4 linked regions of the Stegostoma tigrinum genome follow. The main gene of each other region encodes a partner of the protein of the gene in region 4 in a complex. Links are inferred from orthologs where the notes say so. Each region holds a gene or a part of one and is shown on either strand. Other genes may lie near its edges. The genes, in order: surfeit locus protein 1, timm21, smim20 and cmc1.

Region 1 (8,338 bases), on a different chromosome or scaffold from region 4:
TTGATGGGAGGACAGTATAGAGGAAGCTTTATGAAATGTAGGAAGGTATGGGATCCATACGATAGGGGAGTGCACTGTGACGGTATGGGGTCATTAACTGCAATCACTCAATTTCCGTACAGCATTGTGTGATGGAATGATGTGACAACTTCAATGGGCTGAATGGCCTCGTGCTATTCCTGTGTGAGGGATGAATTGGGAGTGTTCATTGTCAAACACAGGGGGCGACAGGATACATACCCCAGCTCAGTACAGTCGAATGGAGTGATCACATTGGCTCCAGGCTCTGTGCTGGACATCAGGCGCCCAGCTTCTTGTACATCTTTGTCTGGGTCCACCCTCGTTCGCGGCATGATGTAGAGTTCCTTGGAGTGGTCAAACCTCCCTCGGACCCTCACCCTCCTGTACTCAAGCTGCTTCAGCTCCAACTGCCTGGGACATAGACAGGCAACGCTCAGAGTCTATGTGACAGTGAAACAGCCGTGAACAACCCACCCCCACCTGAACAGAAACCATCACAAAGGAGGACAGTGTGACTCCCCTCCACCCCGAGGTTGTGGGGCCTTGGGGGGTGGTGATCAATGCGACTTAGCCTGGAGGAGGGCTCAGTGTGATCTACCCCAGGGGTGGGGGGGCAGGGGCCCACTGTTACGTACCCCGGGGACAGGGGCAGGGGCTCAGGGTGACTTATCCCGGGGACAGGGGCAGGGGCTCAAGGTGATTTATCCCGGGGCAGGGGCTCGGGGTAACTTACCCCATGGGCAGGAGTTCAGTGAGACTTACCCCGGGGGTGGGGCAGGAGCAGAGTGTGACTTACCCCAGGGGCAGGGGCAGTGGCTCCGAGCGAGTTCGTGCTTGCAGGTCCTTGATGAGCTGCAGCTTCCATTTCCGCCGCTGCACCTGAGCAGACAGTGAGAGCCTGAAAGAGCAGCAATAGGCCTCAGACCCCCATCCCCATCCCCTCCATCCATCCCTCCCAATCCCAATCCCCATCCCCTCCATCCAGCCCAACCCCATCCCCATCCCCTCAATCCATCCCAATCACCATCCCCATCCCTCCACCCCATCCCCATCCTCTCCATCCATTCCAATCCCCATCTCCCCAACCCCAGCCCATTCCCCATCCCTTCAGCCCATTCCCTCCATCCATCCCAATCCCCTCCATCCAGCCCAATCCCCAATCCTCCACCCCATCCCCTCCATCCAGCCCAATCCCCAATCCTCCACCCCATCCCCTCCATCCAGCCCAATCCCCACCCCTCCACACAACCCCCCCAACAATACCAACCCCATCCCCTTGATCCAGCCCAACCCTATCCCTCCACCCAATCCCCCCCCAACATCCTAATCCCCATCCCTCTACCCCATCCCAATCCCCATCCCTCCACCCAATCCCCTCCATCCCAACCCCATCCCTCTGCCCAATACCCCCCCCATCCATCCCAACCCCATTCCTCCGCCCAAACACCATCCCTCCATCCCATCCCATCCCCATCCTCATCCCTCCACCCCATCCCCTCCATCCATCCATCCCAACCCCATCCCTCCACCCAATCCCCTCCATCCATCCCGACCCCATCCCTCCACACAAGCCCTTCCATCCATCCCATCCCCATCCCTCCACCCAACTCCCCCGATCCATCCCAACCCCATTCCTCCATTCCAACCCCATTCCTCTATTCCAACCCCATCCATCCACCTAATTGCCTCCCACCACCCCATCCCCATCCCTCCACCTCATCCCATCCCTCCACCCAAACCTCTAAATCCATCCCAAACCCCTCCATCCATCCATCCATCCCAAACCTGCGCCAACCCACACCCAACTGTTCCCCTCTCCCGTGACCTGCATGTACCACCACTCCCAGTGGTTACCTGCCAGGTGCCCAGGCTGAAGGTAGTGACAGGAATCAGGAGCAGGGTCCACTTCAGGAATGAATCATCGGTCCCCGTGGCAACTGTGGTCGTGGAAATGTTCACCCCATTTCGTCTCTTAGCAACCCCTTCAGCAGAGACACAGAATTAACCCCGACAGGAATCAGAGGCCAAGACCTCTCCCTATCACCATCACATGATCCCCAGCCCCTCCCATCTCTGTCACCCCTCCACCCGCCCCCATCTCTGTCACCCCCTCCACCCGCCCCCATCTCTGTCACCCCTGACCCTGTGAGCTGTGTGCCTCCACCCTGGCCTCTCAAACACTCTCTGTTTCCCTTTGCTGTTCCCTTGGTGGCCATGCCCCAGCTGCTTGGCCCCCAAGCTCTGGAATTCCCGCCTGAAACCTCTCTGCCATTCTCTGCTTCATTAATGCTCTGAAAAATCAATCCTGCTTACTTGCCCTGACGTGGAGTACTGTGTGCAATTCTAGTCTCCCTGCTATAGGAACGATGTTGTGAAACTTGAAAGAGTGAAGATAAGATCTTCATGGATGTTGCCAGGGTTGGAGGGTTTGAGCGACAGGGAGAGGCTGAATGGGCGGGGGGCTATTTTCCCAGGAGCATTGGAGTTTGAGGGGTGACCTTTTTCTAAAATCATGAGGGACATGGATAGGGTAAATAGACAAGGTCTTTCCTCAGGGTGGGGGGAGTCTAATACTAGAGGGGCATAGGTTTAAGGTGAGAGGGGAAAGATATAAAAGGGACCTGAGGGGCAACTTTTTCCACACAGAGGGTGGTGCGTGTATGGAGTGAGCTGCCAGAGGAAGGGGTGGAGGCTGGTACAGTTACAGCATTTAAAAGGGTGCATGAATAGGGAGAGTTTAGGGGATATTGACCAAATGCTGGCAAAATGGGACTAGACTTATTTAGGATGTCTGGTCTGTAGGGGCGAGTTGGACCGAAGGGTCTGTTTCTGTGCTGTACATCTCTATGACTCTAATGTTAAACTCTGTTGATTGATTTTTCTGTGAATTATCTTGGTGTTTTTGCACAATGCTGAAGTTGGAATATTAATGTCAGGATTTCCAAGCTGTAACCACAGCTGCCTACCTGCAAGTTTTGCTCTGACATGGGGTAAGACCAGTTCAGTCCCAGGAAAAACTTCTGCCGAACAAGCATTCAAGAGCTGCAGGTGAAACAGAAAGCAAACATTATATAAGGCTTGACCCCTGATACTTCTCATGGGCCTCACTGATACAACAGCCAATATCTCTCTTTCAGTGTCACTTCACGGTTTAGTAGAATCTGCTCAGGAGAAGACCATTCAGCCCATTCAAATAAAGCCAGACCTTTAGACAGAACTATCTCATCACACAACAAACCTCAGCAAAATGCACGATTCCAGAAACTGGGGAAAGGCTGGCTTTTAGATTAGTGGCTGGAGGCATTGGATACTGCAAAGGCTATAGGCCCTGACAACATTCTGGCGATGACACTGATGATTTGTACTCCAGAACAAGCTGTTGCCCGAGCTGTGCTGTTCCAGTACGGGGGGGGTGTGTGGGGAGGGCGAGGGGGGTGGGTGGGGGGCGGTGTCGGGGTCTCTCACCCGGGGCGAACACCGGAGAATCCGCAGCATGTTCACCCGGAAGCGGAACTATGCCGTCACTTCCGGCTGAGCCCAACCGCGGCGCCACACTAAAGGGGCGGGGCCTCGCTGCCACGTGGTGTGTTCCTGCTCTGCCTGTGGCTTCTCAATGGTGTCTCCTGAATTACACTTTGTCTGTGTATCACACTGCAGTCCATTCGCCCCTTCCGTGTCCTGCTGGCCCTCTGAAGCTGCTAGCCTTTCAGTGTCGTGTGTGGTCAACATGTGACTGCGAACCCACAGTAGTGGGTGACCCTCAATAACTGCTGGTCTGGTTAGCAATGTCCTCATCCCAGCAGTGGAAAAGTAATCAATGAGATCATTGCTGATCTATGGCTTAACTCCATGGTACCTGCGTTTGGCCCTTTGGACCATAAAGGATGTTCTATTTTTCCATCCTCCTAATAGCTTGCTTAACAAAAATTTATCTCAGATTTTAAATTAATAACTGATCCAGCATCCACTGACATTTGAGACAGAGATTTTCCAAAGTCTACCACCCTTTGTGTATTGAAATGCTTCCTAGCATATCTCCTGAACAGAGATAGTAGGAACTGCCAATACTGGAGAATATGAGATAATCTCTCCTGAACAGCGTGGCCCTAATTCTCAACCCTATGCACCTGGCACTAGAATCAGCAAACAGTGAAAACAGTTTATCTTTACCCAGCTTGTCTTTTTTAAAAATTGTTCTTTTATTTATTCATTTTGTGGGATGTGGGCATCACTGGCTGGGCCCAGCATTTATTGCCCTGTCCGTAGTTGCCCTTGAAAAGATGTGGGTGAGCTGCCTTCTTGAACTGCTGCAGTCCATTTGCTGTAGGTTGACCCACAATGCCCTTAGGGAGGGAATTGGAGGAGTTTGACCCAGCAACACTGAAGGAACGGCGATATATTTCCAAGTCAGGATGGTGAGTGACCTGGAGGGTAACTTGAAGGTGTTGGTGTTCTCATGTATCTGTTGCCCTTATCCTTCTAGATGGAAGTAGTCCTGGGTTTAGATGCTGTCTGAGGATCTTTGGTGAATTTCTGCAGTGCATCTTATTGATAGTACAGATTGCTGCTCCTGAGTGTCTGTGGTGTGGGGAATGGATGCTTGTGGATGCAGTGCCATTCAATCAGTTGCTGCTTTGACCTGGATGGTGGCAAGCTTTTTGAGTGTTGTTGGGGCTGCACTCATCCAGGCAAGTGGGGAGTACTCCAACACACTGCTGACTTGTGCCTTGTAGATGGTGGACAGGCTTTGGGGAGTCAGGAAGTGAGTTACTTGAAGCAGTATTTCTAGCCTCTAACTTGCTTTTACAACCACTGCATTGATGTGGATTCTAGTTGAGCTTCTGATCAATGATAACAACCAGCGTGTTAATCTTGGGTGATTCAGTGATGGTGACACATTTGAATGTAATGGGGTAGTGGTTGGATTGTCTCTTATTGGTAATGGTCACAGCTTGCCACTTATCAGCGCAAGCCTGTGTATTGTCCAGATCTTGCTGCATGTGGACACGGACTGCTTCAGTATCTGAGGAGTCACGAATGGTGCTGTGCAATCATCAGCGAACATCCCCATTTCTGACCTTATGATGGAGGGAATTTCATTGATGAAGCAGCTGAAGATGGTTGGGCCTAGGACACTACCCTGAGGAACTCCTGCAGAGATGTCCTGGAGCTGAGCTGATTGACTTCTCATAATCACGACCATCTTCATCTATGTCAGGTATGATTCCAACCACTGGAGCATTTGCCCCCGATACCCACTGATTGCAGCTTTGCCAGGGCTCCTTGATGCCACACTCAGTCGAATGCAGCCTTGATATCAAGGGCTGTCACTCTCACCTCACCTCTGCATTTCAGGTCTCTTTTGTCTGTGTTTCAACCAAGGTTGTAATGAGGTCTGGAGCTAAGTATCCCTGGTGGAACCCAAATTGGGCATCACTGAGCAGGTGCTGCTTGACAGCACTGTTGATGACATGTTCCATCACTTTATCTGTTTATCTTTTCCTGTTAATATCTTGAAGACTTCAACTATATCATTCGTTAGCCCTCCAAATTCTAGAGAAAACAGATATAAATTGTGTACCTCTCCTTGTAACTTAACCCCTGAAGTCCAGGAGTCACTGTGTAAATGAAGTTTGGAAGTCCATGTACACATTAACATCATTATCCTCATTACCCATTCCCTGTTATCTGATCAAAAAATGTCAGGTTAGATAAGCACTATTCACCCTTAACAATTCTATGTTGCCTTTCCTCAATGACCCAACATTTGCCCAATTCTGTCCTGAACAATCGTAGTTTTCCCACCCGTGAAGTTAAAATGACCAGCCTGTAGTTGCTGCACTAATGGTGTAACATTTACAATTCTCCACCATCCCTGACTCTGAAGAAGATTGACAATTTATGACCAGTGCTTCTGCAATTTCCTCTCTCACTTACCTCAGTGTCCTCAGAGCACCTCACCCAGTTATGGTACCTGAACAACTTTAAGTGCGGACTGCCTGTCCAATCCCATCTCCTTATCAATCTTAAACCTTTCAAGTGTCTGAACAATCTCGTCCTTCACTATGATTGGGACAACCTCTTTTCTGGAACACAGTGCTGCTACATGTTCATTTAGCACAAGCCAGGACTATTGTCTCCATGTGTAAATCCTCTTTTTAGTCTCTTTTACTTTTTGTGTCTAGAGAAAACTTCTGCATTTATTTTTTTGTTCACTATCAGTCTCTTCTAGTACTCTTTGTTTGTTTCTCTAATTTGTTTTTCCAGTTCTCCCTGAACCTTCTACCCAACACTGACAACGACTCGTACAGCAAAACATGATTGTTATTAAATTGGTATATGTTGGCAGTTAGTTGGTGTGTCACAAATTATTTTCAATCTATTTGCGTTGCGTTATTCAAAAATAGTGTGCCCAACCTTTTCAAGCAACACATTTATTTGGCAATGTTCTCAGATAGAATCAAGAGACAGAAAAGCATGGAACATGAAACAAAATGAACAGTTTCAGAAGCACCGGACTCAGGTGCCTGTCATGATAAAGCAGTTTCCTTGGCCCCTGTTTATGCTAGAATGTGAAACATACATTCAACACAACTTCTTAAACATTTTAAATTTAATGAACTTTCCTCTCAGTGATCCTTCAAATGATAGATACACACTCAGTTATTTATTTTATTAAGTTGCACTTATTGTTGCTGGAAGTGACCAGAGGAGATGCTCCTCTTCAGAGTTTTGTCCTTTGTTCCTGGTTTGTCTGAGTGGAAGGGAATGTAGCCTTACTCCATCTCTCCAGAGCTGGGGTTCAGTGGGGGACAAACTGTTTGGTTTCACTTTTTACAGTTTATGACATTTGTGTTTCAGTTCTTGGTGCTTGAGGTTCAGAGTTTGGGTTCATGGTATTTTGGATTCACTGTTTTCCTTGGCTCTCTGGTACGTGTACAAAGCAGAACAGAGCATTCAGAAAACTCCATTTTACTTCAGCTGACCTTTTGAAAATAAATAAATGCAGATAATTTGTTTTTTTGCACACTAGTTTGATGCCTTCAGGGTCAGTGAATGCCTGGCCTTCAGGAATGCAAGTGAACTATTTAGTTAAAATCACAAGGAAGACTCCCTGACATGGAGCAATCAGACTGGAGCAACATCTTCAGACCAGTGTGTTGGGGAAAGCTCTGCCTGGAATAACACAGCTTGACAAAAAAGGCAAGTGAAGAATGTTCTTCACTTGCTCCATATTAACCCTCTTGTCAGATTAATCCTCTTCACATCACCGTAATGCTGCCCTGTGTTGATAATTATTGATCTCGTGTGCATTGAGAAAAATGTTTACAATGAGAAAATGGCACCGTTTACATTTCACTCACAGTCTAACAGCGTAATCATTGAGCTGGAATGACAGCTGCTCCCCAAGTTGTTGGATTTGAAAGTTGAGCTGCTGCAGATTTGTTAATATTGCCACTTCAGGCCTTTCAGATGTGATTACCTCACCACAATCCACAGCTTGACAAAAATATCAGTACATAGAAACCTGTGTGAATGAACAGAGTTAGCAGGAACTGCAGATGCTGGAGAATCTGAGCTAACAAGGTGTAGCGCTGGATGAACACAGCAGGCCAAGCAGCATCAGCTGAACAGGAAAGCCGACATTTCAGGCCTAGACACTTGTGAAGACCTGTCAGCCTTCCTGCTCCTCTGATGGTGCTTGCCCTGCTGTGTTCATCCAGCTCTATACCTTGAATGAACAGAATAACCACATTCAAAACTAATACCTCCCGACCAAGAATACAGAGGAAGAGTAGTCATGAGAGTGCATATGGAACTGTATCCCAGTGAGAGTCAGTGTGTGGGAACTGTACCCCAGTGAGGGTCAGTGTGTGTGGGACTGTACCCCAGTCAGAGTCAGTGTGTGTGGGACTGTACCCCAGTGAGAGTCAGTGTGTGTGGGGCTGTACCCTAGTGACAGTCAGTGTGTGTGGGACTGTACCACAGTGAGGGTCAGTGTGTGTGGGACTGTACCCCAGTGAGAGTCAGTGTGTGTGGGACTGTACCCAAGTGACAGTCAGTGTGTGTGGGACTGTACCCCAGTGAGAGTCAGTGTGTGTGGGACTATACCCCAGTGAGAGTCAGTGTGTGTGGGACTGTACCCAAGTGAGAGTCAGTGTGTGTGGGACTGTACCCCAGTGAGAGTCAGTGTGTGTGGGACTGTACCCCAGTGAGAGTCAGTGTGTGTGGGACTGTACCCCAGTGAGGGTCAGTGTGTGTGGGACTGTACCCCAGTGAGAGTCAGTGTGTGTGGGACTGTACCCCAGTGAGAGTC
Region 2 (7,788 bases), on a different chromosome or scaffold from region 4:
CAGGGCACTAGAGGCATAGAACCCCTGATCATGGCCATCCCAAACAGTCAACTGAACATTCCTGACCCATGGACTAATATCAGAAGCGAACCTTGCCATGATGTGCTGACAACCTCTGTCTGAATGTTGTTACCCTTGGCACTGACACAGTATAGTGATATATGCAACATTCCCACCCGCTTAACTGATCACACCTGGCAAACAAGACAAGCTGCTTGGCATTGTGTCTGAGATAAGGCAAGATAAAATTACTGTGCGCCTTAAGTTCTGGCTGAGGGGACAAAGCGTTAAAATTAAGGCAAGGCAGAGATTCCACGAGCATTTAAGTAAGCGCAATGCAAGTTAACCCAAGAGAGCTAGCAAATTGCCCTTTGATGAGCCTGATCCAATCTGTGACTTGGGTGCCCCTTTGTGCGCAGAGTGTTTTGGCAACAGCATTGAGATGAAGTATGCCAGCATGCTCCAAAACACAGGCTTGAAGTGCAGAAATATGCTATGGATCAGATGATACACTGACGCTGGTAAACGTCAGATCTCTATCTGTAGTCAGGGTGGGAGTGTGCATTGCCTATGGAGCATGTCCAAAGATGTCAAAGATGAATGTTTAGATGGGCAAGAGGCCAGATAGATTCACCAGGGAACGGCTCTGGCTTTTATATCAGGAAATTTGTCAACATCTAGTTTTTGTCTGTTAGGCAGGAGAATGGGAAACTTCACCATACTGAGGATAGAATAATTAATAGGGAGATATGCACTAAAATGCCTCTCATCACTCAAGCGCAAGAATCTTGTCTCATCATTCAACACTTAGTTGGAAAATGGAACTTTGTCCTCAACTTGCTGGCCATCTCTCGTGATTTTTCCAACTTTCTCCCCATGGCGCATGTTGTTCAGGGATTAGGTAAATTCATTAGGAATAACTAGTCAACCATCTCATTGTGGTAAATAGCACTTTGCAGTTTAAAACTAGGTTCTCACATTGATCTACTGCAGCAAGGGCTGTAATTGATGTTCTTTCACGCACATCTAAAATAAAAATTCACAGGTTGTGGACATCACTGGAAAGGCCAGCATTTATTGCCCATTACCTAGTCACCCTTGCTTGTGGGGAATTTCTTTTTTGAGCTGCTGCAGGTCACGTAGCATTGGTATGCTCACAATGTTGTTAGATAAGTTCAAAAACTTTAACCGAGTGACAATGACGGATAGGCTAATAGGTCAGAGCCTTGTGTGACATAGAAGGGGAACTTGGCAGTGTTCCTGTCTGCCAGATACCTTTGTTCTTCCAGATGGTAAAGATGGAAGGCTTTCAAAATGCTGTTGAAGACATCTTGGTAAGTTTCTGAACAGAACCTGGTAGATACCACTTACTGCAGCCCTGCTGGTATGAATGACATTTCAAGTGGTGTCTGAGCAATTGATCAATTGGACTTCCTTGCCCTGGATAGTGTAAAGTCTGGAGTGTAGTTGGAGCTGCATGCAAGCATGATGAGGATGGGGCACACTTTTTCAAGGATACTTTGTTGTCTTGTTCCTTCTCCGGAGCTGGATTTCTCAATTTAGTCCCAGTGAAAATGTAACAACTGGGATCTGTACTATCACAGATAATAAAATGTGAGGCTGGACGAACACAGCAGGCCAAGCAGCATCTCAGGAGCACAAAAGCTGACGTTTCGGGCCTAGACTTGGAATCTTGGAATCTTATCTTGGAATCTCCAGCATCTGCAGTTCCCATTATCTCTGTACTATCACAGTAAGGTGAGTGCAGTGCATTAGATTTTGGCTTGATGGATAGAATTTAACAAATTAGAAAATGTGTAATCACTACAGTCATCATACCTTCAAATAGTATTGTAATTACAGAATTCATTATGTTGGTCTCACATTTTGGTCAATGATAAACTCTACACCCATGATATTGATCATGAGGGGTAGGTCGATGGAAATACCAATGAATGTGAAGTGGATGTTGTTAGATCCATTTTTTGGGGATGGGCATTTCTGTTCACAACTTTTTCTTGACACTTTTCAATCCAAACTTGGATGTTACCTGACTAACTGCATGAAAGCACAGATGACTTCATTGTTTGAATAATTGCGAGAGGACCAGAAAACAAAATAATTGTCAAATATTCTGACCCTAAAATGGATGGAGCTGCTGAAGATAGTTGGATTTTTCTCACTGACCTGAAGAGCTCCTACTGCTGAAATAACTGGCTTCCAACAATCTCCTTTCTCTGTACTTGATAAGTCTCCAGTTAGTGAAGAGTTTTCTCCCTGATTCCCATTGGCATCATTTTTTCTAATAGCTCCTCAGTGTCACAACTTCAGCTGTATCTATGTCAGTAGCAGCCACTTCCACCTTCAATCCTGGAATTCAGCTCTTTCGTCCACTTTTGGGCCAAGGCTGCAATGAGGTCCAGGAACAAGTGGCCCCAGTGGAACACAAAATGAGCACGTTTTGCAGTACAAGTGTCACTTAATAGCACATTTTAACCTGATGATTGAAGCTAGGCTGACAAGAATTATAACTGATCAGGCTGGATTTGTCTCACTGTTGCTGCCAACATATGGGCAACTTTTTACTTTGTCTGGTAAACTCCAATGAACCACCTGGAACACTGTGGGATAGTTGACAATAAGAAGGTGCTAAACAAATTCAAGTTCTTTGAATTTTGGTACGTCTATGTCAGACTTTTTTTTCCCGATATCACTCATTGCACTCCTCTTCTAATTGGTTTTAACTTTGAATTCTGAGCTAACTGTGGAGGCTAAGGTAAGGAAGTGGAATAACTTAGTTTTGTACAGACCTTGATCTCGGACAGCAGTGTTAAATACTCAGATTACAGGGTGTTAGTTCGAAGGGACAATTTGGAACAATTTTACCTTTCTGAGTTGTTGATGCGGGCGGGGTACTCTTTCTCAATGATACTTTGTTTTCTTGCTTCTTCCCCGGAGCTGGATTTCTCAATTTAGTCTCTGTGAAAATGCACCGCCAGGGAACCGTGCTAACGAAGTAAAGTGAGTGCTGCTTTTGCAGCGGACAAGTAGTGACTCCTACAATTCCAGGCCTCTCACGAAACGAGTTACAGATTTGGGGTCGTGCGGAACAGTGTAGCGAGAATTGGGTTTTGTACTGGAACACCAGCCTTCTTCTGTGTGTGCACACCGCTCGCAAAAAGTAAACATTAGCCATTTGTTTCTCTTTTCTATTGTAGAAACTATACTTTCTACCTCGCTGTCATTCTTCCATTGGATCAGCGTCTGAATAGATCGGTGGGACATGTAGTTCCGCCTGCTTATTGGTTGCAAGAACACGATTCGACAAAAACTACAAAATCCATACTGCTTTCCCCCGATTTCCGCCTACCTTTTTCATTGGTTGTTTCAGTTGTTGCAGCGGGGCACATATCTGCTACTGAAATAGAGGATGTCTGTTTCAAGTCGTTAACCCTTCTAAGGCACAGACCAATTTCTTAAACATAATGCAATCCCAACTCATTATAATACACACCAATTAGATGTTCAATGTTGCTATCCAAAACCAAATTCGTAAAAGTGCACAGAAATACAAGGCAATAACGTCATGGAATTCCTAATATTGGCCATCAATTGTTGCCCTTCCAGTGGTTGTGGAAGATCTCAGTTGCACTTGTGGACACATCTAGTGGTGTGGACTTGGTGGCAGTAAATAAGAAGTAATAACTGGGAGCAGGAATAGACCATATGACCTTTTGTGGACCTTTCATCATGACAGATACTTACCTCTAGATAGAAACAGGCATTTGAGCTAATAACCCTCTTGACAGTGTGCTGTCTGGACTTTTGATGGCCATTTGGACCAGGCCCAGGTCTCAAATGATCCTTTAATTTGCCCCTCTCCCTCCACATCAGGTGGCCAAAGGTTACTCGTGGATGGGGATAACAGCTTTCCCGTGTGAAAGAATGAAAAGTATATTGAAGGAATGGTTGACGACTCTGGGTCTATACTTGACGGAGATTAGAAGGGTGCAGGGGGATCTAATTGAAACTTACAGAATACTGAAAAGTCTGGTCAGAGTGGATGTTGGGACGATGTTTCCATCAGTAGGAGAGACCAGGATCTGAGGGCACAGCCTTAGAGTAAAGGGAAGAGGTTTTAGAATGGAGGTAACGAGAAACTTCTTCAGCCAGAGAGTGGTGAATCTATGGAATGCACTGCCTCAGAAGGCTGTGGAGGTCAGGTCATTGAGTTTCTTTAAGACTGAGATAGATCGGTTCTTGACTGTTGGGGGGATCAATAGTTATGGGGAGGAAGTGGGAGAATGGGGTTGAGAAACTTATCAGCCATGATTGAATGTTTGAGCAGACTAGATGGGCTGAATGGCCTAATTTCTGTTCCTATGTCTTATAGTGTTAAATTGGGGGAAGGCGAACTACAACAGTATTAGGCGGGAACTGGTGAATTTGGATTGGAGGTAGCTGTTTGAGGGTAAATCTACATCGACATTTGGGAATATTTTAAATGGCAGTTGATAAGAGTTCAGGAGAAGCACATTCCTGCGCGAATGACATATAGCTATGGCAATGGCCATAGGGGAGGCAATGGCCTAGTGGTATTATCACTGGACTGTTAATCCAGAGACCCAGATAACGTTCAGGGGACCTTGAATTCAATAAATATCTGGAATTAAACATCTCATGATGACTGAATCCATTGTTGATTGTTAGGGAAATTCCATCTAGTTCACTGATGTCTTTCAGGGAAGGAAATCTGCCATCCTCACCTGGTCTGGCCTATGTGACTCCAGATTCACAGCAGTGTGGTTGGCTCTTAACTGCTCTCTGGGCAATAAATACTGCCAAGCCAGCGATGCCCTCATTTCCTGAAAGAATAAAGAAAGTTATGTGAACCTTGGATGACCAGGGATGTTATTATCTTGGTCAGAAAGAAAAAGGAAGCATACGTATGATCTAGGTGGATGGGCACTCATGAAGCCCTTGAAGTACATATGAAAAGTAGTAGAGAACTTAAATAAGGAATTATAAGGGCTAAAAGGGGTCATGAAAAGTTGTTAGCAAACAGGATTAAGGAGAATCCCAAAATTTTTCATACATCTATGAAAGCAACAAGGTACCCAGGGAAAGGTTTGGCCCACTCAAGGACAAGGGAGAGAATCTATCTGTGAAGCCTGAAGAAGTAGATGAGGACCTAAATGAATACTTTGTGTCAGTATTCACCAAAGAGAAAGAATTGGTTCAGGATAATCTCAGGGAAGGCAGTGTTGAGTTTCTAAACAAAGTTGCTATTAAAAAGAGAGAGGTGTTGTGCGTCTTAAAAAGTATTCAGGTAGATAAGTCCCTGGGTCCTGATGGGATCTATCCTAGAATATTGAGAGAGGCAAGAGAACAAATTGCTGGAGCACTGACAGATATCTTTGGCCAAAACATCCCTCACCTTCCGGGACCCCTCTGCCTCCATCTCAGGCAACCAGCTAGAAACTGATGTCCACTTCAAGCCCACCGACTCCCACAGCTACCTAGAATACACATCCTCCCACCCACCCCCCTGCAAAAATTCCAGCACCCTATTCCCAATTCCTTCGCCTCCGCCGCATCTGCTCCCAGGATGAGGCATTCCACTCCCGCACATCCCAGATGGCAGCATTCTTCAAGGACCACAATGTCCCCCCTGCAGTGGTCGAGAACACCCTTGACCGTGTCTCCCGCAACACATCCCTCACACCCCGCCCCCGCCATAATCGCCCTAAGAGAATCCCCCGCGACCTCACATACCACCCCACCAACCTCCGGATACAACGCATCATCCTCCAACACTTCTGCCATCTACAATCTGACCCCACCACCCAAGACATTTTTCCATCCCCACCCTTGTCTGCCTTCCAGAGAGACCACTCTCTCCGTGACTCCCTTGTCCGCTCCACACTCCCCTCCAACCCCACCACAACCGGCACCTTCCTAAACAACCACAGGAAGTGCTACACTTGCCCCCAGACCTCCTCCCTCACCCCCACCCCAGGCCCCAAGATGACTTTCCTTATTAAGCAGATGTAATAAGGAAAGTCATCTTGGGGCCTGGGGTGGGGGTGAGGGAGGAGGTCTGGGGGCAAGTGTAGCACTTCCTGTGGTTGTTTAGGAAGCCTGCACATCTGCTAATGTAGTATATACTGTATCCATTATACCCAGTGTGGCTTCCTCTACATTGGGGAAACCAAGCGGAAGCTTGGGGACCGCTTTGCAGAACACCTCTGCTCGGTTCACAATATAAACAACTGCACCTCCCAGTCGTGAACGATTTTAACTCCCCCTCCCATTCCTTAGACGACATGTCTATCATGGGCCTCCTGCAGTGCCACAATGATGCCACCCGAAGGTTGCAGGAACAGCAACTCATATTCCGCTTGGGAACCCTGCAGCCCAATGGTATCAATGTGGACTTCACAAGCTTCGAAATCTCCCCCTCCCCCACTGCATCCCAAAACCAGCCCAGCTCATTCCCTCCCCCCACTGCATCACAAAACCAACCCAGCTCGTCCCCGCCTCCCTAACCTGTTCCTCCTCTCACCTATCCCGTCCTCCCACTTCAAGCCGCACCTCCATTTCCCACCTACCAACCTCTTCCCGCCTCCTTGACCTGTCTGTCCTCCTGGACTGACCTATCCTCTCCCCACCTATACTCTCCTCTCCGCCTATCTTCTCCTCTATTCATCTTCAGTCCGCTTTCCCATCTCTCCCTATTTATTTCAGAACCCTCTCCCCATCCCCCTCTCTGATGAAGGGTCTAGGCCCGAAACGTCAGCTTTTGTGCTCCTGAGATGCTGCTTGGCCTGCTGTGTTCATCCAGCTTCACACTTTGTTATCTTGGATTCTCCAGCATCTGCAGTTCACATTATCTCTGATGAAGGAAAAGCTGTTGATGTTGTCTACATGGACTTCAGCAAAGCCTTTGATAAGGTTTAAAAAAAAAATGTTACACCGTATCAGGGTGAACTGGTAAGACTGATACAGAATTGGCTTAGTCATAGGAAACACAGGGTAGCAGTGGAAGGATGCTTTTTGGAATGGAGGGTTGTGCAGTATCAGTGCTGGGACCTCTTCTGTTTGAGATTGACCAAAATCATAGAATCCCTACAGTGTGAAAACAGGCCCTTTGGCCCAACAAATCCACACCAAACCTCAGAGCATCCCACCCAGACCCATTACCCTATAATCCACCTAATCTACACTTCCCTGAACACTACGGGCAATATCGCATGGCCAAACCACCTAACCTGCACATCTTTGGACTGTGGGAGGAAACCAGAGTATCCGGAGGAAACCCATGCAGACACTGGGAGAATATGCAAACTCCACACAGACAGTCACCCAAGGCTGGAATCAAACTTGGAACTGTGGCACTGTGAGACAGCAGTGCTACCTACTGTGGCACCATGCTGCCCCAAAATGATTTGGAGGAAAACGTGGCTGGTCCAATTTGTAGGTTTGCGGATGATACATAGATTGGTAGATTTGTGGACAATGAGGACTGTCAGAGGATACAGTAGAATATAGATAAGTTGGAGGCATGGGCAGAAAAATGGCAGCTGGACTTTAATCTGGACAAATGTGAGGTGATACATTTTGGAAGGTCAAGTATAGGTGGAAATTATACAGTGAATAGCACAACCCCTAGGAGTATTGAATTGCAGACAGATCTGCAGGTCCACAGATCACTGAAGGTGGCGGTACAGGTTGATAAGGTCGTAAAAAAGGCTTTGGCATTCTTGCCTTTATTGGAAGGGGTTTTAA
Region 3 (8,270 bases), on a different chromosome or scaffold from region 4:
TCCAGCATTTTGACCCACCAACAGTGCACGAACAATGAACCGGACAGCATGTGAATGGGAGGTTGTGGATGCGAGAGAAACATGATGAATAGGAGCAAAAACAGGCATTCGTCCCATTGGAGCTCAGTCCACCATTCAACAAAATCACTGATGACTCCCCCCCATTTCAACACCCTGGTACTGCTAGCCTTTAGAAGTGTATTTCTCTTTAACATACATTAATACCCCACCCACGGCCGACACCGACGGAACCCCGCCCACGGCCAACAACCTCATCGCTCCGCCCACAACCTCCATAGCCAGCAACCCCAGAGAGGACAGCCACACTGAGCCCTGCTGAATCTTCACCATCTGCCCAGACCTCCCACTGACTGAGGACGAACGGTCAGTCCTAAGCAAGGGGCTCACCTTTGTCCCCCAACAACCACACATGAACGAATACCAGTCACGTTTGGACAAAGGCGGCGGAAAAACTGCTCTTCGCCTCCACGCTTACTTCTTCAACCAGCAGCCCAACCCTCCCGCCACTGACCCCTTCACCCACCTCCAACACAAGTCCTCCTCCTGGACACCACCCCCAGGCCTCCTACCCTCCCTCGACCTCTTCATCTCCAACTGCCGCCGAGACATTAGCCGCCTCAACCTCTCCACCCCTCTCACCCACTCCAACCTCTCCCCCGCAGAACGGGCAGCCCTCTGCTCCCTCCACTCCAACCCCAACCTCACCATCAAACCTGCAGACAAAGGTGGTGCAGTGGTAGTATGGCGCACTGACCTCTACATTGCCGAGACCAAACGCCACCTCTCCGACACCACCTCCTACCGCCCCCTTGATCATGAACCCACCCACCCCCCCCCACCACAGAGCACCAAACCATCATCTCCAACACCATTCATGACCTCATCATCTCAGGGGACCTCCCACCCACAGTCTCCAACCTTATTATTGCCCAACCCCGCACGGCCCGTTTCTACCTCCTTCCCAAAATCCACAAACCTGCCTGCCCTGGTCGACCCATTGTCTCAGCCTGTTTCTGCCCCACCGAACTCATCTCCACCTATCTGGACTCCATTTTCTCCCCTTTGGTCCCAGAACTCCCTACCTACGTCCGTGACACCACCCACGCCCTCCACCTCCTCCAGAACTTCCAATTCCCTGGCCCCCAACACCTCATTTTCACCATGGTCGTCCAGTCCCTATACACCTGTATTCCGCATGCAGATGGCCTCAAGGCCCAACCAGTCCCCCTCCACTTACACCCTCATCCGCCTAGCCGAACTCGTCCTCACCCTCAACAACTTCTCTTTTGTTTCCTCCCACTTACTACAGACAAAGGGGGTGGCCATGGGCACCCGCATGGGCCCCAGCTATGCCTGCCTCTTTGTAGGTTACGTGGAACATTCCCTCTTCCACACCTACACAGGCCCCAAACCCCACCTCTTCCTCCGTTACATTGACGACTGCATCGGCGCTGCCTGTTGCTCCCCAAAGGGGCTCGAACAGTTCATCCACTTCACCAACACCTTCCACCCCAAACTCAAGTTCACCTGGGCCATCTCCAACACATCCCTCACCTTCCTGGATCTCTCAGTCTCCATCTCAGGCAACCAGCTTGTAACCGATGTCCATTTCAAGCCTACTGACTCCCACAGCTACCGAGAATACACCTCCTCCCACCCACCCTCCTGCAAAAATTCCATCCCCGATTCCCAATTCTTCTGCCTCCGCCGCATCTGCTTCCAGGATGAGGCATTCCACTCCCACACATCCCAGATGTCCAAGTTCTTCAAGGACCGCAACTTTCCACCCACAGTGGTCGAGAACACCCTTGACCACGTCTCCCGCAACACATCCCTCACACCCCACCCCCGCCACAACCGCCCAAGAGGATCCCCCTTGTTCTCACACACCACCCCACCAACCTCTGGATACAACGCATCATCCTCCGACACTTCCGCCATCTACAATCTGACCCCACCACCCAAGACATTTTTCCATTCCCACCCTCGTCTGCCTTCCGGAGAGACCAATCACTTCATGACTCCCTTGTTTGCTCCACACTGCCCTCCAACCCCACCACACCCAGCACCTTCAGTTGCAACCACAGGAAGTGCTACACCTGCCCCGACACCTCCTCCCTCACCCCCATTCAAGGCCCCAAGATAACTTCCCATATTAAGCAAAGGTTCACCTGCACATCTGCCAATGTGGTATACTGTATCCATTATACCCGGTGTGGCTTCCTCTACATTGGGGAAACCAAGCGAAGGCTTGGGGACCACTTTGCAGAACACCTCCGCTCGGTTCGCAATAAACAACTGCACCTCCCAGTCACGAATCATTTTAACTCCCCCTCCCATTCCTTAGATGGCACGTCCATCATGGGCCTCCTGCAGTGCCACAATGATGCCACCCGAAGGTTGCAGGAACAGCAACTCATATTCCGCTTGGGAACCCTGCAGCCTAATGGTACCAATGTGGACTTCACCAGCTTCAAAATCTCCCCTTCGCCAACCGCATCCCAAAACCAGCCCAATTCTTCCCCTCCCCCCACTGCACCACACAACCAGCCCAGCTCTTCCCCCCACCCACTGCATCCCAAAACCAGCCCAGCCTGTCTCTGCTTCCCTAACCTGTTCTTCCTCTCACCCATCCCTTCCTCCCACCCCAAGCCGCACCTCCACTTCCTACCTACTAACCTTATCCCACCTCCTTGACCTATCTTCTCCCTACCTATACTCTCCTCTCCACCTATCTTCTTTTCTCTCCATCTTCGGTCCGCCTCCCCCTCTCTCCCTATTTATTCCAGCTCCCTCTCCCCATCCCCCTCTCTGATGAAGGGTCTAGGCCCGAAACGTCAGCTTTTGTGCTCCTGAGATGCTGCTTGGCCTGCTGTGTTCATCCAGCCTCACATTTTATTATCTTCAGTGACCTGGCTTCGTGGTCGAGAATTCCACAGATTCATCACCCTGATCAAAGGCAACTCTCCCCTTTCAGCCACACGTCCTAAGGCCGTGACCCTCACTCTGATGAAACATCATCAAATCCACAGGGGGTGAGGGGAGGGGGACACAGCAGGAAAGGGTGGGAGTTAGAGCCGGTAACTAGCCGTATCCGCACCGACCATCCACCTCCGCCGCAGATTGTTTCTCTCACTCACTGTACTGCTCGGTGTAAATCAGCGGCCGAAAGTAGATGGGGTAAAAGGCGGCTCCCAGCAGAGCGGCGAAGCCACCGAACAACAAAACCACCCGCGCATGCCCAGCCATGGCGCACGCTGACGGATCGGAACGGACGACTCTCCCACCCCGACAATTGCTTCCTATATCCGTCCCGGTACGCGCGTGCGCGAAGTATCATGTGACCGGGTGCGCGGCCGCCACCTTTGAGACGGGCAATTCCCACCGAATGGCATCTTAGCGCACTCTGCTCCACTGCGCACGCGCTGAGCCCAGTCTGCTTCCTTTCTGATTGTTGCTATCTCTTATTCAAATAGTTTGCCAATTTCTCATCCGGTGGCTTCATGTCATGAAGCATTTCTTGCTGTGGATACTTCATACGTTCAGTTCTCAGTCACCGAAAACAACAATGCCTGGCTCCTCCTCCTGAGGAATTATAATTAGATTTTACTGTCAACTGTTCTGAAGTACAGGGATGCAGGAGTACAGTGAAAAGTGTACAAAGTCACTATTCCCAGCATCACAGATAATGGGAACTGCAGAATCTGGAGAAACTGTGATAACAAAGTGTCGAGCTGAATGAACACAGCAGGCCAAGCATCATCTTAGGCACAAAGGCACTCGGTACAACATAATAAAATGTGAGGCTGGATGAACACAGCAGGCCCAGCAGCATCTCAGGAGCACAAAAGCTGACGTTTCGGGCCTAGACCCTTCATCAGAGAGGGGGATGGGGTGAGGGTTCTGGAATAAATAGGGAGAGAGGGGGAGGCGGACCGAAGATGGAGAGAAAAGATAGGTGGAGAGGAGAGTGTAGGTGGGGTAGGTAGGGAGGGGATAGGTCAGTCCAGGGAAGACGGACAGGTCAAGGAGGTGAGATGAGGTGAGTAGGTAGGAGATGGAGGAGCGGCTTGGGGTGGGAGGAAGGGATGGGTGAGAGGAAGAACAGGTTAGGGAGGCAGAGACAGGTTGGACTGGTTTTGGGATGCAGTGGGTGGAGGGGAAGAGCTGGGCTGGTTGTGTGGTGCAGTGGGGGGAGGGGATGAACTGGGCTGGTTTTGGGATGCGGTGGGGGAAGGGGAGATTTTGAAACTGGTGAAGTCCACATTGATACCATTGGGCTGCAGGGTTCCCAAGCGGAATATGAGTTGCTGTTCCTGCAACCTTCGGGTGGCATCATTGTGGCACTGCAGGAAACCCATGATGGACATGTCATCTAAAGAATGGAAGGGGGAGTGGAAATGGTTTGCGACTGGGAGGTGCAGTTGTTTATTGCGCGGTCCCCAAGCCTCCGCTTGGTTTCCCCAATGTAGAGGAAGCCACACCGGGTACAGTGGATGCAGTACACCACATTGGCAGATGTGCAGGTGAACCTCTACTTAATGTGGAAAGTCATCTTGGGGCCTGGGATAGGGGTGAGGGAGGAGATGTGGGGCAAGTGTAGCATTTCCTGCGGTTGCAGGGGAAGGTGCCGGGTGTGGTGGGGTTGGAGGGCAGTATGGAGCGAACAAGGGAGTCACGGAGAGAGTGGTCTCTCCGGAAAGCAGACAGGGGTGGGGATGGAAAAATGTCTTGGGTGGTGGGGTCAGATTGTAGATGCCGGAAGTGTCGGAGGATGATGCGTTGTATCCGGAGGTTGGTGGGGTGGTGTGTTAGAACGAGGGGGATCCTCTTTGGGCGGTTGTGGCGGGGGCGGGGTGTGAGGGATGTGTTGCGGGAAATGCGGGAGACGTGGTGAAGGGCGTTCTTGACCACTGTGGGGGGAAAGTTGCGGTCCTTGAAGAACTTGGATATCTGCGATGTGCGGGAGTGGAATGCCTCATCATGGGAGCAGATGCGGCGGAGGCGGAGGAATTGGGAATAGGGGATGGAATTTTTGCAGGAGGGTGGGTGGGAGGAGGTGTATTCTAGGTAGCTGTGGGAGTCGGTAGGCTTGAAATGGACATCAGTTACAAGCTGGTTGCCTGAGATGGAGACTGAGAGATCCAGGAAGGTGACGGATGTGCTGGGGATGGCCCAGGTGAACTGAAGGTTGGGGTGGAAGGTGTTGGTGAAGTGAATGAACTGTTCGAGCTCCTCTGGGGAGCAAGAGGCGGCGCCGATACAGTCATCAATGTAACGGAGGAAGACGTGGGGTTTGGGGCCTGTGTAGGTGTGGAAGAGGGACTGTTCCACGTAACAACAAAGAGGCACGTATAGCTGGGGCCCATGCGGGTGCCCATGGCCACCCCCTTAGTCTGTAGGAAGTGGGAGGAATCGAAAGAGAAGTTGTTGAGGGTGAGGACGAGTTCGGCTAGGCGGATGAGGGTGTCGGTGGAAGGGGACTGGTCGGGCCTGCGGGACAGGAAGAAGCGGAGGGCCTTGAGGCCATCTGCATGCGGAATGCAGGTGTATAGGGACTGGACGACCATGGTGAAAATGAGATGTTGGGGGCCAGGAAATTGGAAGTCCTGGAGGAGGAGGAGGGCATGGGTAGTGTCACGGACGTAGGTAGGGAGTTCTGGGACCAGAGGGGAGAAAATGGAGTCCAGATAGGTGGAGATGAGTTCGGTGGGGCAGGAGCAGGCTGAGACGATGGGTCGACCAGGGCAGGCAGGTTTGTGGATTTTGGGAAGGAGATAGAAACGGCCCGTGCAGGGTTGGGGAACAATGAGGTTGGAGGCTGTGGGTGGGAGGTCCTCTGAGATGATGAGGTCATGAATGGTGTTGGAGATGATGGTTTGGTGCTCGGGTGTGGGGTCATGATCGAGGGGGCGGTAGGAGGTGGTGTCGGAGAGTTGGCGTCTGGCCTCGGCGATGTAGAGGTCAGTGCGCCATACTACCACTGCGCCACCCTTGTCTGCGGGTTTGATGGTGAGGTTGGGGTTGGAGCGGAGGGCTGCCCGTTCTGGGTGGGACAGGTTGGAGTGGGTGAGAGGGGTGGAGAGGTTGAGGCGGTTAATGTCTCGACGGCAGTTAGAGATGAAGAGGTCAAGGGAGGGTAGGAGGCCTGGGGGTGGTTCAAAATCTCCCCTTCCCCCACCGCATCCCAAAACCAGCCCAGTTCGTCCCCTCCCCCCGCTGCACCACACAACCAGCCCAGCTCTTCCCCTCCACCCACTGCATCCCAAAACCAGTCCAACCTGCCTCTGCCTTCCTCACCTGTTCTTCCTCTCACCCATCCCTTCCTCCCACCCCAAGCCGCACCTCCATCTCCTACCTACTAACCTCATCCCACCTCCTTGACCTGTCTGTCTTCCCTGGACTGACCTATCCCCTCCCTACCTCCCCACCTACACTCTCCTCTCCACCTATCTTTTCTCTCCATCTTCGGTCCGCCTCCCCCTCTCTCCCTATTTATTCCAGAACCCTCACCCCATCCCCCTCTCTGATGAAGGGTCTAGGCCCGAAACATCAGCTTTTGTGCTCCTGAGATGCTGCTGGGTCTGCTGTGTTCATCCAGCCTCACATTTTATTATCTTGGATTCTCCAGCATCTGCAGTTCCCATTATTACTCGGTACAACATCTTAGGTTTTCCTCATTTTCCGCTTGGGGACCCTGCAGACCTCAGGACTCAATATCGAGTTCAATAATTTTAGGGCCTAAACTCTCCCACCTCCTCATCCTCTTCCTCTACCCCACACACCAAGTCTTGTTATCACATAGCTTTCCATTACACACTACCTATTGTTGGTTACTAACTGTCCCCATTAGCAGCTATTCACCCTCCCAGCCAGATCATCATCAACTTCTTCGTCTATCCAACAGCTCTTCTCTCTCTTTGGGCTCTATCCCTACTTATAGTTTACTGCCCCTCCCCCTCCCTATATTCTGCATTTAATCGTTTCCTAGCTACCATCAGCTCTAAGGAAGGGTCACTGCACCCAAAACATTAACTCTAATTTTTTTCTCCACAGATGCTGAGTTTTTCCAGCAACTTCTGTTTTTGTTCCTGATTTACAGCTTCCACAGTTCTTTTGGTTTTTACTCAATATGATTGAATTTGTTATAGTAGATGGGAGAGACTAGGACCCATGGGCACAGCCTTAGAATTAGAGGGGGTAAATTTAAAACGGAAATGAGGAGACATTTCTTCAGCCAAGAGTGGTGGGCCGGTGGAATTCAGTGCCACGGAGTGCAGTGGAGGCCAGAACATTAAATGACTTCAAGGCAGAGATTGACAAATTCTTGATCCCACAAGGAATCAAGGGCTACGGGGAGAGCGCAGGGAAGTGGAGTTGAAATGCCCATCAGCCATGATTAAATGGCAGAATGGTCTCGATGGGCCGAATGGCCTTACTTCCACTCCTATGTCTTATGGTCTTATGACACAAAGATAGCAAAGAAAATATGTTGTAAAGAAGGCATCAGGAAGTTGCAGATAGATATAAATAATTTGAGTGAGTGGGCAAAAATCTAGCAGATGGAATCTAATCTGGGAAAATATGAAGTTGTTCACTCTGCTGAAAACAGTAGGCAAAGCAGAATATATGTTTAATGGCAAGTAACAGGGAGGCAATGGTGTAGTGTTATTATTACAGGGACCGAGATAATGGTCTGGGGACTGAAATAACTCCATGAAGGCCAGTATCCCACCACCAAGTAACCCTTTATTTGCACATGGAGAGTTCTTGACATTGGTCCTCAGAGCCAGTCCTCTGAGTGTATAGGATGTCTGATCTCCCTGTTTATAAATGTCAGCCATGCCTCTGATTGAACCAGGCTAATAGCAGCCAACCTGAGTTAGAATCACGCCATGGCAGATAATGGAATTCAACTTCAATAAAATCAAAGTTGTCCACTAATGATCTTCTAATGTTGGAAAAGAAAACTGCCATCCTTATCTCATCTGGCCGATATGTGACTTCAGACCCTCAACAACAATGTGTTTAACTCTTACCTGCACTCTTAGTGGCTAGCAAACCATTTAGTTCAAGGGCAATTAAGAATCATCAACAAATTCTCGCTCAGCTAGTGAAACCTACATCCCATGAATGAATTAAAGAAAAACTGCAGAATCCTGAAGTGCAGAAGGATTTGGATGATCTGGTGCATAAGTCGCAAAACCTTAGTGAGCAGGTACAGCAAGAAAGACGATGGGGTGCTGTTG
Region 4 (7,759 bases):
AAAAAAAAGGTGACAAAACGTCTGAAAACTAACCTTCCAGCTCAGCAAGCAAACTCACATCCAGAACCTCAACCTGAGCTACAAATCTTCTCAAAACTCGCTAGAATCAAGCAATGTTACAGAGGTGAAAATAACGTCACACAATTCTATAACCAAAAAGTCTGGTTCAGCCTCAGACAGCTTTGATCTTCCAAATATTTAGTTAGACGAAATTCCTGCTCATTTGGTCAGATTAGCAGTCTGGTAATTCAGAAAAAAGCAGTTGGACCGAGAAAGATAGTGGCGGCGTGGAGCTAAGTATTATCAGCATTGACATGAAAACAAGGATTTTGATAAAGATTAAGGATTGGTTCCTAGGGTCTCCAAGGTAATGTTGCATAAGTGAGAGGAGAAACAATTGAAATAGATATTCTAGTTTTGATTGTACAAGTCAAAATGGAGCCAAACCATCACAATCTCAACCTCTTGAGTGCAGCTGGAAAGATGGCATGACCAACTGTGTCACAGACTATAGACAGGTTGAGAAGAACCACAGCGCATAATGTTTTTTGTTGGAATCATATTGGAATACTAACCCAAGCTTGAAATTAACATTGTTTTCAGTGTAACTACTACTACATAAAAGCAAAATACTTTGGATGATGAAAATCTGAAACAGAAAATACTCCGTAGCTTTTCTAGCATCTGTGGAAAGAGAAAAACTGAGGTGTATTTCTAGCATCTGTAGGAAGAGAAAATCTGATGTAAGGTCACAGACTTGAAATGTTAACTCTGGTCTCTCTCACCACAAAAGCTACCAGGCCCACTGAGTGTTTACAGTTTTTATTATTACTGATCAGTATCCATAACTAGCAAGTCAATAATCATTACCTCCACTGTATCTGGACTGTGTCTTGTTCACCTAGTAGAGTTTGATGACACAGCTCAATCTCACACCTCAAACATAGAAAAAGGCAACAGCATCAATATCAAAGGAATACTACTAACTTGTAAGACACAATCTATCCTGACTTGTATATTGTTATTCCTTCATTATTGTTTGATCAAAATTCTCCCCTTCTCTCCTCAGTTACCTTAGGAACTCTAATTAAACAGCAGCAGCTATTCAAGAAAGTCTAGCAGTACTTTAGGTAGATTAGGAGTTGGTGATAAATGTGGCATTGTCAACATTGCCCATATCTCAAGAATAAAAACAACCTGCCATATTTTCAGCTTGTTTGCTTTTTTCTTCCCTTCTCTAATATTTCTCACATTGTTACTTGTGTGGCCTTTTTCATGTCTTTTCGCCCTTTGGTATTTTTCCATTTCTTTTGCCCTTGTGTCAGGCTAACCCACTAATGGCCTTTCATTTTATTTAAGGAAATTTGAGAGGAGCTATTGATAGAGAAATCAGCCAAACTATTGAAAATCATGAAGAATCAGCGCAGAGTGTCAGATAAAATGCTACTTGGTGAGGGTGCAATTTAAGTGATGTAGTATTTAAGTTAGGTTAGGTCAAGTATGTTGTAGAAATTGGTTCATGGAGTTGGGAGGGGAGGTGAGGGGTAGCATCAGGCCTGGTGTGTCATGGAGTTTCTGGTTTGGTCTGCAGTTCTGGTGAGTGGCGGGGTCTGCTAGTGCTATGTTAAGTCGGGACTAACAAGGTGAGCAAGTGTCAGGTGGAGGGGCCAGTCCTAGTGGGGCATTATATAGGGTCAGGTCCAGTCCAAATGGGGAGGAAAGGGCATTGGGGTCATAGGATGGTAGTCAGGTCCCCGCAGGTGTCTGTTCCAGGATTGAGGGTGAAAGGTGTAGTAACAGAGGTGTAATGGAGGGTGCTTGAGGTAAACGTGGGATCAGGTGAATAGTTACTTCGGGTCATCTATTTAATGCTCTAACATTTCCTGGATAATTACTTTACTTAATTTCATTGAAACTCTCTGAAGTCTCCAATGTGAATGAAGAGTTTTGGAGGGCTCCAGGTGTAGAGAAAGTGCCTGATGGAAAATTCAATTTCCCAGGCAATTCCTTCAATGTCTGCTATGATAGGAATTCTGTAAGGTCAATTCCCATCAACACTGGAGTAACAACTGTCTAGCTAGTGGAAATCTGGGCCATGGTACAACAAAGATGTTTCTCATACTGCTTCTGGTTATTTTGCTAAACACTTTAAGTTGACGTAATTTAGTTGTCAGCTTTCCGCAAATAGAAAGTTGTCCTTCTCTGCTTTCTTCAGACCCCTCAGGGAACACTTAAATCTAAACTCCTCTTAAAACACCTCAAAAGAAGAGAGAGATAACAGGAATTGCAGATGCTGCAGAATCCGAGATAACAAGGTGAATGAACACAGCAGGCCAAGCAGCCAAATGTCAGCCTTCCTGCTCCTATGATGCTGCTTGGCCTGCTGTGTCAATCCAGCTCTACACCTTGTTATTTCAAAAGAAGATAGTCCCAGTTCACCAATTTGCCAAGTAAATGAAATTTCATTCCCAAGCTTTCATATTCTTCCTAAAGATGGGAAGGATACCCAGAATTCGACACAATATTCCCACTGAGGTGTAACATCTCCTATTTTATATCAGTGAAATGACTTCACGACTATTCCACTGATTATAAAGATTAGGACATCATAAGATTCAAAAAAATTACCAAAAATGCTCGTTCCTTTTCATTCATGAGTAAGCCTCAACCAGGAAGATACATGATCTAACTGCATCAGCAACTTGAGCATCAATACACAGAGAACTGTGTACAGTCCCCAGTGGGGACTGAAATGAAGACAGTTCCAGCGCGGGAGTGAGAAGAAGGGGATGGGGTCAGTCCTGAGATGGGGGATGAGGATATGCCGGGTGGGGTGGGTTGGCAGTCCGAGGTGGCAGCGGGCAGGGGGATGAGGGCCCTCCCTCGATGGCGGGTAGGGAGTGAAAGAGGAAGACACTGGGGGTGTGCGGGATAAATGAGGAAAGGCCGGAAGGGTGCAGGATGGTAAGTGAGGGCAGTCCTTCCCATCACACACGCCAATGCCGTGTGCTGGCGCGATGGATATTTAAAGATTCGGCTATCGGATCTTATCTTCCATAACTATAGGAAAATATCGCCCTAATTCACCGTGACAGACCTGTCAGTTTATACCCAGAGCCAGGTCGCTCCCACAGGGCTCAGATCACACGGAAGAATCGGCTTTACCTTCACCACCGGGATCCATGACCGCTCCGTAACAGCAGGCCCCTCCCCTTCACCTTTCACCCTAGTAACGTGGACCCACTTCCGGCTGTTTGATGGTTTTCTCTGCCGTCTGTTTTGGTTTATGGCTGATTTTCTGATCCTGCTGCGTTTGTACTTATTTAAAGGAAACTGCTTCGAGTTAATTTTAAATTTCTTTTGGATAGAAGGGAATGGAGCGATTGAAAGACTCGGCAATGAGGGGGTGGTTAACCTGTGAGACGTACAACTCGGGATCTGGCAAGGCACGCTCATATGGCGCCCTTGCCATGTGCATTGCTTCCTCCAAATGTTGCACAACGTTGAGGTTTGTGATTCATTACCCGAGAGTGGACGGTATTTGGTAATCAGCAGGAGATTACCTTGCCCATGTTAAACCTGAAGCTATCTGGAGTCAATGTTGAGGCTTTCCAGAGTAAATCACTTCCTCCAGAGGGTCAGTCTTGTCAGTGGGCAGGACGTATCAAGTGAAGGTGAAGGTGATGGTAGTGGTAGTGGTAGTGTCTGGATCTTTGTCTGCAAGGTATGATTCTGTGAGTATAACTTTGTCAAGCTATTGCTTGACTAGTCCACGGACAGCTTACCCAATTTTGGCTTTGGCTTCCAAATAATTGGTCAGAACTTTGAGTGCAGGAGTTGGGACATAATGTTGTGGCTGTACAGTACATTGGTGAGGCCACTTTTAGAATACTGCGTACAATTCTGTCTACCCTTCTTTGGGAAGAATACTGTTAAATTTGAAGGGTTCCAAATAAGATTTGCAAGGATGGTGCTAGGACTGGAGGTTTTGAGAGGGAGAAGCTGAATAGGCTGGGACTGTTTTCCCTTGAGTGTCATAGGCTGAGGGGTAACCTTTATAGAGATTTAGAAAATCATAAGGACATGCCTAGGGTGGATGGCAAGGTCTTTTCCCCAGGCTAGGAGTCCAAAACTAGATGGCATAGGCTTAAGATGAAAGATCAAAGAATTAAAAAGGACCTGAGAGAGAACTTTTGAACGCAGAGGATGGCGTGTGTATGGAACGAGCAGACAGAGGAAGGGGTGGAGGCAGGTACAATTACAACACTTAAAAAGCATCTGAGTGGGTATATAATTAGGAAGGGTTTAGTGGGATATGGTCCAAATGCTGCCTAATGGGACTAGGTCAGATTGGAATGTCTGGTAGGCATGGATGAGTTGGACTGAAGAGTCTGTTTGCTTGTTATATTACTGTATGATAGATATATAATGATAGCAAAACACAAACAGATGTCGTACATCTGAAAAAAGAGTAGATGCTGGTAACACTCAGCAGGACAGGCAGCCTGAAAAAACTTCATATTTCAGGCTGTTGACCTTTCAGCAAAAGTGGGAAAAGTTAGAAATGTAATACATTGTCAGTATTTTTAAAGATTGGGTGGGGACAAGATGAAAGAGAAAGTCTACAGTAGGGTGAAAGATTTCCCAACAGTTTCCAAATTCCTGGCACTGTCTCCTTCTCATCAGAAATGTATATCTTTATGTATCTCCATCTTTCAACTCCAACCAATGCCCATTGAACTTCACTTGGCTAATTTCTCTCACTTGAAGACCTTCTCCTTCAATTCCACTCATTACACACATGGATCTTAGATACACATATATTTCCTTTGATAACTATTCCTTATATCATTCCTAATCAGGGCCCCTCAAATTTTTTCTGTACATCATTGACTGCATCAGTGCTGTTTCTTCACAATAAACTGGAAAATTTCAACTTTGCTTCCATGCTCCATTTCCTATTCTTTCTTAACCATTTCCTTAACATCTCTGTTTCTATTTCAGGGATAAATTATCAACAAATATTTATTGTACACTGACTTCCACAGTTGATTTGACTATACTTTATCACATCCTACTTCCTGTAAAGACATTAAGCTAACTTTTCAGTTTCACTATTTTTCACATATGTTCTAAAGACATATCAGTGCTTCCAATAAGTCATTCTTTTCCCTCAACTGTGCATCATTGCTACTTTGGAAAATCTAGCCAATCTTTTCTTTCTTGTCCCATTAATAGTCTTTGTCTTACACCACCAACTCTTTTAGTCTCTGTAATCTCTCCTGTTTTCCACGCAATTACAGCTCTTTCTTTGGTCAATTTTCACCTCTCACCCTTACACTTGCTTAAAAACATTTCCTAGTTCTGATGGATGATGAGAAATATTTGACAGTATTTTTTAATCAAGATTTGTGGGCTGGATCCGTGTTGTTTTATTTCTATCCGCTGGGATTTTCAAAGTTGTAGCTAATTCAAGATCAAGCAGTGGCTTATTGTTAAATCGGGGACAACAGGCACACTCCCTTTGCAGGAGAACCAGTGGGAGGCAGCCATACCAGCTGAGGTCAGAGCTACTGATCTGAGGATAGAGAGACAGAAGGAGAAAGCCAGGCTGACATGCGCCACTGGCATGGCTGACTGAGAATCCCAGTCAGCGCACAGCCAGCCGTTAATAGATCCTGTAATTCTCGATAGTTAACTGCCTGCCAGGAATCAAGACCTAAGCCGTCATCATTGAAAATTAGTGCTAAAGGCAGGATTATTACAGCAAACCGGTATGAAGGCCAGCACCAGCAGTGCCAAATTGTGTGCCTACCTTCTTTTGATCCTGACCTCATAATAATTTAAAAATTCTGGCCACTGGCTCTACCTGCACTGCACAGATGCTGCCAGAGCTGTGAAGTATAGGGATTCGTTCCAACACATGCACATTTACAACATTTGCAATACTTTGTGTTTGTAAAAGATTAAGGATGTTGAATATTGATTGGATTCAAAAATAATTTGAGCCCACTTGGCTGACCATAACCTATCTAAATTATCTGGATTTTGAGATCGTAGTGTCAAAACCTGCTAATGATATACGCATGGATTGGGAGTGTGGTGTTTTGCAAATTATAAAAGACACAGGGATGTAAACAGGTTAGGCAAACAAGAAGCTATTGGAAGGTACAGTTCACCATCAAAAAGTGAAATGATGCAGTTCTGGAGGAAAAACAAAGTGGAATATACACCAAATGGCAAACTGTTTCAAGTTGCAGATTAGCAAAATGACATGGTGTTCAAAATTCTTTGAATATGTAAATGTGGATTGACACTAACAAAAAAGAAGGCAACAGTATTTTGGATTTAATAAATAGGAGTGTAAAATACATGGGTAATCATCTCAGGTTATGCCCTAATTGACAAGAAGAGGGACTTGAGCTACTATAATTATTTTACAAAAACAAAGCAGGCTAACAAGAAAGGATGTTTAAATATGAAGGGTTTGACCAGGTGAATACAGAAAAACTTCCCCAGGATGAGTGTCAATTATCAGGGCTAACAGTTGAAAATTAAGGGGAAGGTTGGTGAAGTTTCTTCCTTTGAGTTTTTGGAGTAGGAAATGTCTTGCTGAAAGGAGTACTCTGAGACAAATATCACTGTGTCAATTAAGAAAAAAGTTTTTAAAAGATGAGGGAGTGAAAAATAAGACAAGACAGCTAAGAAGTGAGTTTTTTTTAAATTGCTGCATCAAAGAACCAGTACTGACCTTAAAAAGCCAAAATGTTTCATTTACCACTGTAAACCTTTTTGGTTCCTGAAGTGGCACAAATGATAGCTATAACTCTGACTGCAATGTGTTTCACTTCAAAATCAATTTTTTTTTGCAGCAAAAATTCAATTTTTCCCACGTGTAGAATATGTATTTTACATTTTCTCCTTGTTTTAGAGGTATGGTAGAGATTATTAGAGGAGGAGTCATGTGTAGACACTCTTTACTAGTCTGCTGTTTCTTAGCAACCCTTGTATCTAGGTCACCACAAACTATATTTCTGCAAATAATTGCAGGAAAGTGGGTAAGATGAATGAAAAGGAAAAAGTTTGCCAAATCATTCAATAAAAAGCTTTTTTTTCCCAAATGAAAGCACTTGATTTAAATGAGTTTGCAATCAGCACTCCAGACTGAGATTTCCTTCAAAACACAACATTCAGGGCAATTTAGTGAATAATTATTAGTTCATCCTTTTGTGGAGTTCAGAAATCTCAATTTTCATATTTAGTTCTTTGGACTCACTTGAACTATTGGCTAAATTGTGTGACATTGAGCCAACAGCTTAGTGTTACTACGATGTTTCTTGCTGTACTGGGATGATGCTACAAAAGGTTGGGGCCCCTCGCTCTCAAATATCCCTCCTAAGGTGACCACTTGCACAGTGTTCTAAATCAATTACTTTGACCAACTAAATACCTCCATTCTCGAACTTGATGTGTGTCGCATTCTTCAACTGATCTCAAAGCATTTCAATCTCCTGAAACAATCAGTGCAGAAGCTGGATATGTTGGTTCTAACTCTGAAAAAGTTGATCAGAAAATATCTAGAACACGTTGGGCATGTGATTCTCTATCATGGCATTTTTGAGGATATTTGTTACTGGTATTTACAATTACAATCCTGTAAACAAGAAAGCATTAAAGTTCCCATTGTCAGCTGCCTGGCACCTAGGGTAAAAATCCAGACCTGTTCCCCATGTAGCTGATAGACATGAACTAATTCATG

Evidence for each region.
Region 1: cmc1 (region 4) and surfeit locus protein 1 share a complex: the UniProt entries of both Homo sapiens proteins name them as parts of the MITRAC (mitochondrial translation regulation assembly intermediate of cytochrome c oxidase complex) complex. The link is inferred for Stegostoma tigrinum from reciprocal best matches to the Homo sapiens genes CMC1 and SURF1.
Region 2: cmc1 (region 4) and timm21 share a complex: the UniProt entries of both Homo sapiens proteins name them as parts of the MITRAC (mitochondrial translation regulation assembly intermediate of cytochrome c oxidase complex) complex. The link is inferred for Stegostoma tigrinum from reciprocal best matches to the Homo sapiens genes CMC1 and TIMM21.
Region 3: cmc1 (region 4) and smim20 share a complex: the UniProt entries of both Homo sapiens proteins name them as parts of the MITRAC (mitochondrial translation regulation assembly intermediate of cytochrome c oxidase complex) complex. The link is inferred for Stegostoma tigrinum from reciprocal best matches to the Homo sapiens genes CMC1 and SMIM20.

What each region holds. Positions count from the first base shown.
Region 1 is NC_081382.1:44,015,771-44,024,108, forward strand, and holds the start of surfeit locus protein 1, read right to left. Parts: upstream 3,443-8,338; 5' UTR 3,326-3,442; coding exon 3,260-3,325; intron 3,064-3,259; coding exon 2,988-3,063; intron 2,004-2,987; coding exon 1,876-2,003; intron 901-1,875; coding exon 818-900; intron 433-817; coding exon 241-432; intron 1-240. UniProt on the Homo sapiens protein: Component of the MITRAC (mitochondrial translation regulation assembly intermediate of cytochrome c oxidase complex) complex, that regulates cytochrome c oxidase assembly.
Region 2 is NC_081358.1:59,525,728-59,533,515, reverse strand, and holds the start of timm21 (mitochondrial import inner membrane translocase subunit Tim21-like), read right to left. Parts: upstream 3,296-7,788; 5' UTR 3,197-3,295; coding exon 2,887-3,196; intron 1-2,886. UniProt on the Homo sapiens protein: Participates in the translocation of transit peptide-containing proteins across the mitochondrial inner membrane.
Region 3 is NC_081354.1:89,190,689-89,198,958, reverse strand, and holds the start of smim20 (small integral membrane protein 20), read right to left. Parts: upstream 3,336-8,270; 5' UTR 3,271-3,335; coding exon 3,162-3,270; intron 1-3,161.
Region 4 is NC_081355.1:62,163,044-62,170,802, forward strand, and holds the start of cmc1 (COX assembly mitochondrial protein homolog), read right to left. Parts: upstream 3,263-7,759; 5' UTR 3,185-3,262; coding exon 3,166-3,184; intron 1-3,165. UniProt on the Homo sapiens protein: Component of the MITRAC (mitochondrial translation regulation assembly intermediate of cytochrome c oxidase complex) complex, that regulates cytochrome c oxidase assembly.